Canis lupus familiaris: one gene and its partner. The protein of the gene in region 1 interacts with the protein of each later gene in a pairwise test. Links are inferred from orthologs where the notes say so. Each region holds a gene or a part of one and is shown in the gene's direction. Other genes may lie near its edges. The genes, in order: ZMYM2 and FOXP1.

Region 1 (3,810 bases):
ATTTCCTTGTCAGAATGAGATGAAATAATTCAATTGTATATTTTTATAAGATTTAAATGTATTCTAATTGTTTAACTAGATAAATCTTTTTGCAGGGGATATGAGGGGGATCTGATAGTATATCTCAAACTATATAGTGTTTTTAAAGGATGTTTTCTTTGTATTAAAAAGGGGGCTAAATTCTGTTTTTGCTCTTTATTAAAAATTACTGTATTTAGTTTTATTGTTTTTACTGTACTTAAATTTGTGAAACTGTACCTAATTTCTTTTAAAAGGGAACTGAGGCTTAACTTAAATTTTTCTTTGTTACCAAATTATTTTAACATTGAGTAACTATGTATTAAGTGTTATTTAATATTGCTTCTTAAACACATTTTGTATTTTTAGATGATAATTGGAAAACAGAGTATGTTCCAGTGCCTATTCCTGTACCTGTGTATATCCCAGTACCTATGCACATGTACAGTCAGAATATTCCTGTTCCTACTACAGTTCCTGTTCCTGTAAGTCAGATTTTAAGTTTTTTTTTTCATTTCGAGGTTTATCAGGCATTAGATAGGAGAACAATGTTGTAATTCCTACATTAGTGAAGCCGGTAGAACAGAGGGTTGAGTCTTTGCCTTTACCATTTAAATAAGGTTTGGTTGAATCTCTGTCAATGTTTGCTTTGTGTTTAATCAAGTATATGTTCGTCTTTATTTTTTTATTTTTTATATGTTCATCTTTAAAGGTGAAGTTTAGCAAATGCCTTTGTGTGCTTTATGCATATATGTAGTGTTTTCTATTTGAGTTCATTTTAGAGAAAAATATTTGTGAAGTTGTAAGGTTTAAAATTGAAACATGGAATAAAATTTCATATAAATTATCATTACATTATTTTGTCCTAAGTCACTTGCAGTAAAGACATTATGCCAGGACTTGGATGCCATAGTCTCCTGGGAAACTGAAGAACCTCAAATACTATTTTTCTTTAATTTTTATTTAAAAAAAAAGGCTGCTTGTTTTCTGGGCTGTGTTATAGTTGACATCTTAGTTTTGGTATGTGTTTTTTCCAAAACTTTTATCCACTGTGGTATTATAAAGATCATGTGTTAGAATAATTTTTAATTTGGGAAATTATTTATTTGTTAGAGAATGAGAGAGAGAAAGCAGGAGCAAGAGCAGGGAGAAAAGGGAAAAGCGGAGAGGGAGAGGGAGAAGCAGGCTCCCTGCTAAGCAGCCTATGTGAGGGCTTAGTCTCAGGACCCAGAGATCATGACCTGAGCCAAAGGCAGACTCTTAACTGACTGAGCCATCCAGGTGCCCCTAAAGATTTTAATTTTAAGTAATCTCCACACCCTCCACTGACTGTACCAGACTGGCTTCCCCTGCCCTCCCAGGAAAATTACCTTCTAATGTTGAGTGAACCTAACAGTAAATACTTTGGTTAATTAGGTGCCGGTTCCTGTTTTTCTGCCTGCCTCATTGGATAGCAATGAGAAGATCCCTGCAGCCATTGAAGATCTAAAAAGCAAAGTTTCTTCAGATCCTCTTGATACAGAGCTGCTTACAATGACAGATATGATGACTGAAGATGAGGGGAAAACAGAAGCTGCCAACATTAACAGTGAGCTGCACTATATTTCACCTTGTGAATGTGTATCATTGGTTTTCAATAAATGTTGTAATTATTATAGTATGTTGCAGGACATATCATTATGTTTCAACTTGATATAGGAGTGGGGGAAGTATTGCAACAAAAACGTATTTTTGTATTAAGAGATCCATACTCTTTCTAGGCACATGCTGTCTCTTATGCCATGCCCAATTTCAAGCAGGAATTTTTAAGGTCCCTGTTTTAATTGGAACAGAATTTGACTTGTAAAATCAACTCAGAATTCCTGTTTTAATGTACTAGCTCAGACAAAAAAAACTTGTAGTAGACTTTAATAATGATCCAAACTCTTATTTTGTAATGGTTATCCCCAATTTTGTTTTGTTGGCTATACTTAATAAAATAATTTGCATTATCTAAACCAGGGTTTATCCTAATTTCTGTTAGGGCAGTGTTTGCCAAATGTAACATAAGTATGTTATAGATGATTCTCTTAGAATATTTATTCCTACCCTTACTTTTTTGGTATTACCCACAGTCTTCTTTCTTTTTTTTTTTTTTTTTAATTTTTTTTTATTTTATTTATTTATGATAGTCACATAGAGAGAGAGAGAGAGAGAGAGAGAGAGAGGCAGAGACACAGGCAGAGGGAGAAGCACGCTCCATACACCGGGAGCCTGACGTGGGATTCGATCCCGGGTCTCCAGGATCACGCCCTGGGCCAAAGGCAGGCGCCAAACTGCTGCGCCACCCAGGGATCCCCCACAGTCTTATTTCAACCACAAAACTGCCTAATCTCCTTTGCCCTAGAATACAATAGAAGCAGTATAAATTCTGTGTGTTTCATAATGTGACAGTGTTTGTTGAGGACTTTGTTACAGATTAATTTAGTGGGTTGCAACCAGTGGTTTTGTTTGTTTTTTAATGAAGTGAAATGGGAAAATGTTAGTGTGAATCTCATCGAAAGGATATTGTTTTGTGAAACTTTTGTTTCCTGTATGTGTATCTATATTTGTCTTTCTGTCTCCCATCACCACCTTCAAATGGATAAAATGCATATCTTTCTGTGGGTTGTAATATAAAACTGAAAACAGGGATCCCTGGGTGGCGCAGCGGTTCGGCGCCTGCCTTTGGCCCAGGGCGCGATCCTGGAGATCCGGGATCGAATCCCACGTCGGGCTCCCGGTGCATGGAGCCTGCTTCTCCCTCTGCCTGTGTCTCTGCCTCTCTCTCTCTCTCTGTGGTGTGACTATCATAAATAAATAAAAATAAAAAAAAATTTATAAAACTGAAAACAACTGATCAAAACGTTGGAAAGCAGTTGTAATGAAAAACTTAGGTCATAATTCAAAAACTGTTGAAAATGGCATTATCCACCCTTATTAGTTTATTTTTCATGAGAGATTGCTTCTAGAAATACTCTGCATACCAGGGTTGTTTATCAAAGCATACCTGTTAACCTTTGAAAAGAGGCAGTTAAAGGATTAAAAGTTTCCATGTGCTAATGCTTGCTTATCTAACAATAACAAAATTTATAGTAGTTACATTTCAAGATAGCTATATATACCTTTTCCTTTTGTGACATTAATGTGTTAATTCTTGTTTTATATTTAAAATTAAATGACTTCTTTTGCTAGGTTAAATAAAGGTACTTTTAAGTTCTTCTGTTTTGATTTTTTTATATTATGACTTGATTACAGGTGTAATTATTGAAACCGACATAATTGGTTCAGATCTCTTGAAGAACTCTGACCCGGAGACACAGTCGAATATGCCTGATGTACCATATGAACCAGATTTGGATATTGAAATAGATTTCCCCAGAGGTACTCAAAATGCTCTTTTATTCTTTAAGTGTAAACTATGGTTGTGGAATTTAGTTACGGAATCATAACTGTGGTTATGATTGTTAATCATTTAATGTTTGTGCTATTACCTTTACTGTTTATATTTGTCTTTTTTTACCCAAACAAAATTCAACAGTTAATTTCTGAAATGGGCTATAGGATTGAATTGAAGAAACTTGAAGAGAATTTCTTTAGAAATTCTCTAAATTTTTAGAGCCTAAAAAGATACTTTCCTAATGTAATTCATTATAGAAAACTTTGTAGATAGAGAAAAGGATAAAGAAGTGGTTGTTTCTTTTTAAAAAATTAAATAAACTGTTGATAGTATTTTTCATAAGCTTTTTTAAAAATTAAGTTTCACCTTCAAGG
Region 2 (4,601 bases), on another chromosome or scaffold:
CCAGCACCAAAAAAAAAAAAAAAAAAAAAAAAAGGAAAACGAAAAAAAGGAAAAAAAAAAAAAAAAAAACTACTTTCCACCTCCAGGCTCCACGTGCATCTCCCCCCCGCCCTCCCCTCTCAGCCTCTCTCCCCCGGGCCCGGGCCCAGGCTCTGGGGTGTGTGTGTGTGTGTGTCGTGGGGGGGGGGGGGTTGGGGCCGGCGCGAGGGTGGGGGGGGGCCTTCGGCGGCGGCGCCCGCACGCTTGGGTCCATTTCCATAAGTCAAATGAGGGTGGGGGGGGGGGCGGCGACGGCGGCGGGGAGGCGAAATCGCCTTCCCCCTCGGCCTCTTCACGCCTGGCTCTGCGCGCTGGGCGATCGCCGCGGGGAGAGGCATCAATAAGCCCAGGCCGCCTGGCGCAACTTTCGATGTCGGGCGTCTGGGTGCCAGGCGAGGAGCAGGGCCGGCGCGGGGCCGGGGGTCGCGTCTGTGGCGGGAGGGGGCGCGCGCCGGGAGCCTCGGGAGCCCGAAGTTTGGACTTGGAGCAAACTTTTTCCCTCCGCTCTCCGCGAGTGTGTGCCCCTCCGTGCCCCTGGATCGTAAGGACGGGATGCCCGCACCCCGGGCCCCGCGCCTCGGGACATCCCCGGTGCCACGCGCGCCTGGCCCCGAACCTGGCCGCGGGGACGCTCCACCGCCGCCCCCCCCGCCCCCGAGCACAGAAAACTCGGACACACGCTCGCGCACCCCCGGCTAGACACGCACCCTCACGCGCGCTCGAGCCCGAGCACCCAGCCTTGGCGCGGACCGGCCAGCTCCGCGGGTGGGAGTGGGAACGGGGTGCGCTGCGGGGAGTCGCCGCGTCGGGTCTCCTCCCCTCCATCACACATACTTTCGGGGGTTGCTCTCCTTTGAAGCTTGGGGTACCGGGGCGGGGGGTTTCCCAAGCCTGGATGTGTCCGGAGGCGCGCGGGAGCCGCCGCGTCCCTGCAGCCCCGTCCCGGCGGCCGCGGCTCTCCATCCCTCGCCAGCACGCCGCCTGCCTCCGCAGCTCCCCGCGCTCCATCCCCATCCCGCGGAGGACTCCGCTGTGCCGGCCGCCGGGGCTGCGTGCGCTCCGGGCGGGGACGGCGGCGCCGGGAGCCGAGAGTTCGCCAGTTGCCGCGGGGTCGCGGTCATTCGCTGCCTCCGCCTCCCCTCGCCCCCGCCTCCCGCCCCCCCCCCCCCCTCGTCCCCAGATACCGCCGCTCGGAAACTTTGATTCCTTCTCCTTTTTGGCCCTCGGCGAGTCCCCCTCCCCACCTGTTGTGAGCTCCGCCTCGGTCCCCGGAGACTGGCGGTGACACACGCGGGCGCCGGGGAGCTCCGCGCCCAGAAACAAAGTCGCATGCCCCCTCCCCAGTGTTTGCTTCGAAATCGCAGCCTGCAGCACACCTCCCCCCCCCCTTCCCGCGCAGCTCCCGCCCCTGTGAGAATAAGGACTAAATAAACAGTTGTAACTTCAAACCTTGTGCCTGCGATCGTATGCCTTTCCCACCCCCTTCCCCCGTCCTCCCCCCTCCTTTTTTGTTGTTGCAACTTTGTAAGATCCTGGGGAAGGTGCTGAGACTTTGGCTCGGGCCGAGTTCCCGGTCTCGGGATCCTTGCAGGGATTCCCTAAGCCACATCCTCCTCGCCGTCCGCCCGCACTGGCGGGTCCTCCTGGTCCGCCGCCCCGTCTGCCCGGGCCCCCCAGCCTAATCACTTGTCCCACTCCCCCTCCCTCAGTTCCCCCCAACCTGCGCCGGGAAGCCTTGCTGAGGGTCGCCCTGGTTTCTTGTCGACCGCAGAACCCGAAAGTTTGCAAGAGGAAGAGAGCGCGCAGCGAGCCAGCGGGCAAGGGGCAGCGGCAGCGGCGCCGGGGACCATGGTGCTGCCGGCGCCTCCTCCGCGGGCGTGAAGGCGGCGCTCCCACTCCCTCCCCGGACTCTGCGGGTAAGTCGAGGCGGCCGCGGGCACCGGGGCGAGGACGCGGGCGGGGGCTGCGGAGACCCCAGAGCCCCCGGGGCTCTCTCCCCAAAGGGCCAGCATGGGCGGCGCGAGCGTAGGGATGAGGCGCCCGGAGCCAGGAATGTGCCCATCCTCAAGCTGGTAGGTGCCTCGGAATACTGGACTTTCTCTCTCTCTCTCTCTCTTTTTTTTTTCCTCCTTCCCCTTCTCTTTCCTAAATCCGAGAATCTGGAGATCAAAGTTTAGCGTGGAATGTAAAGTGCTCCGATAAAATATGGTGACATCCCTCGTCCCCCCTTCTCACCCCACTCCCCTCTTATAACTATTAATTATTTCCAAGTCATTGTGTCCAAATACCCTTGCCTGGCTGATTACAAAGTGTATTGATTTAGTCTGGGCTCATCCTACGCATTCGTTTTAATTCATTTTCCTTTGCTCGACCAGAAAACCCGAAATGAAACTTATTTCTTCCTCTTCCCAACACCCCGCCCCCCCCCCCAACGCCCCCCCACCCCCCAAGCTCTCATCTCTGACGCCTGGGCAGAATAATGAAATTAATATAAACATTTCATTTGGTTGCATTTAAGCTTCTTATAAGGAGCTGGTGTTGCTCTCCTGTCCGGTCACAGGTATTTTGCAAGTTCGGATTTCCTTTTTTGTTGCTGCTTTGTAAACAGGAATGCTGGAAGGGCATTCTGTATTCCTTTTAAAAGGAGTCTATACCTTGAAACCATCTACACTTTACCTTTGGTTGTCCGTAGGCTTTAGGATTTAGGGCTTGCACAATAGATGAGTTGGAAAAAAAAAAAAAACTTGAAGGATATTTAAGGGATTTTTCTGCTGCTGAAAATATATTGAAGAATCTCTGCAAATTTTTACCTTCCATCTCCTTTCCTTCGTTTTTCCATAGTGATAATCAGTTTGAGGGGAGATGTCTTAACTAGAATTAGGAGAGAAATGGTAAGACTTCAGGTGTTTTCTACTCAGGGTTAGCCTGCATAATTGAGACAGAGGAGTTGCAATTATTTTCAGTTCCAGAGAGAAATGTATCAAATCTTTTTTAGAATTCCACTGGAGTTTTGATTCTCAAAGTGGAAATACCCATCTCTTTGAGTCCAGGAAAAGAAAATTGGGCTTACAGTTTCAGAGATTTGGAATGTTTTTTTTTTTTTTCTCTCTCTCTCCCTGACTTTTCTACTTGAAACATCTCATAATTAAAGAGCATTAAAAATATAAAAAGAAACTCAACTAGTTACCATTCAAAAGATGTCAGCTAAAGTCTCACTGCAAAGGGGTGGTGGTGGGGGGGAAGGTTTAGCATCTTACCACTGGCAGCATTTTTCCCTCCTTAGACTTTGGATTAGTCATTGTATGAGAGAGAAAAAGAAATCAGTTTTTTTTTTTTTTTTTTTTTGGAAAAGTAAAGTAAACAGCCTCCAACTGCTGAACCTTGACAACCCAAATTAAGGAAGCAGGAGAGATCAAACAGAACTACTGCTGGGTTGTTGTCAGGAGCTCTACATGGAGAACTCTGGACTATTCGATCAAGCAGCAAAGCTATATATTCACTAATGCAGAAATGGACCATTGCAAATGCTGATCTTTGTTGTGCAAGCTAAGGCTCACTTGGAAGGAAATACTCCGCTCCACTCTAGGCAGCATTTGAGTTCCTTATGGATGTCGAGTTGCTCAATAAGTTATTTTTCTAATACAGTCTTGCTTATGAAGAGCATGCACGCAAAAAGGTATGGAATGAATATTAAGTCTTCCAGAGGCTGCCTTGCTACCCAGAACTGTGGAGTGGAATTCTTTTTACCAACATCAGACTCCTACACTAGAGTTAGGTAACGTTTTCTCACATCAAGTTTAGAAGATCTGCCTTGTCAGGAAAGCCAAGGTTTTGTATGTGAGGGTTTAAATCTGATGTGAAGCTCAAAAAAAAAAAAAAAAAAAAAAAAAAAATTCCCTGGTGATGAAGTTTTGTGTCAGCCCACTCTTGGAATTTAAAAAGGCGAGAGGGAGCATTCTCCAGATTAGACATAACCTCTTTTTTTAGATTGACATTCAACATGACCACGTTGCTACTTTTATTCAAGTTCTCTGTAACTTGTCCTTGCTTGTTGTCTAGGAAAATTTAACTGCTTTACATTTTTAAAGGGAGTAGTAACAGCAATTACTTTAGCATTTTGTTTTCACAGGTTTATCAAAGTATAATGAAAGCAACATCAACTATTCAAATTAACTGTCTCAAATTAAGGAGGTTATATTGCTGGAGATGTGTCTGTAAGATTTTGTGTTTATATTTAAATAGTGGAGTAAAAACTGCAACACTATTTTTTTTTGTTATAACTATCCCCAAATTAAGTGTCATTTTTAATTAAGTAGAACAAAGTAGGAAATAGGGCAAGTAAACACGTAAAGAAGAATAAAAATGATTGCCATTTAAGGATTGCATTTTTAATTAACGTGTCCATCACACAGTAAGCACTTTATGTTTTTTTATGTCAGAGTTTCATAACCATAGTGCCCAACATGTTTCAAAGTGTGTAGCTTTTATTGGATCTATCTTTTATTGTATAATTAAACAATGCGAGTTAAACATACACATGGAGGCTGTTAGGCAATTCTGTG

Evidence for each region.
Region 2: the proteins of ZMYM2 (region 1) and FOXP1 come close enough for resonance energy transfer, tested with the Homo sapiens proteins (2 studies listed by BioGRID). The link is inferred for Canis lupus familiaris from reciprocal best matches to the Homo sapiens genes ZMYM2 and FOXP1.

Annotation. Positions count from the first base shown.
Region 1 is NC_049246.1:18,147,684-18,151,493, reverse strand, and holds part of ZMYM2 (zinc finger MYM-type protein 2), read left to right. Parts: intron 1-387; coding exon 388-503; intron 504-1,434; coding exon 1,435-1,606; intron 1,607-3,294; coding exon 3,295-3,420; intron 3,421-3,810. UniProt on the Homo sapiens protein: Involved in the negative regulation of transcription.
Region 2 is NC_049241.1:20,573,759-20,578,359, forward strand, and holds the start of FOXP1 (forkhead box protein P1), read left to right. Parts: upstream 1-1,585; 5' UTR 1,586-1,955; intron 1,956-4,601. UniProt on the Homo sapiens protein: Transcriptional repressor. Can act with CTBP1 to synergistically repress transcription but CTPBP1 is not essential. Plays an important role in the specification and differentiation of lung epithelium.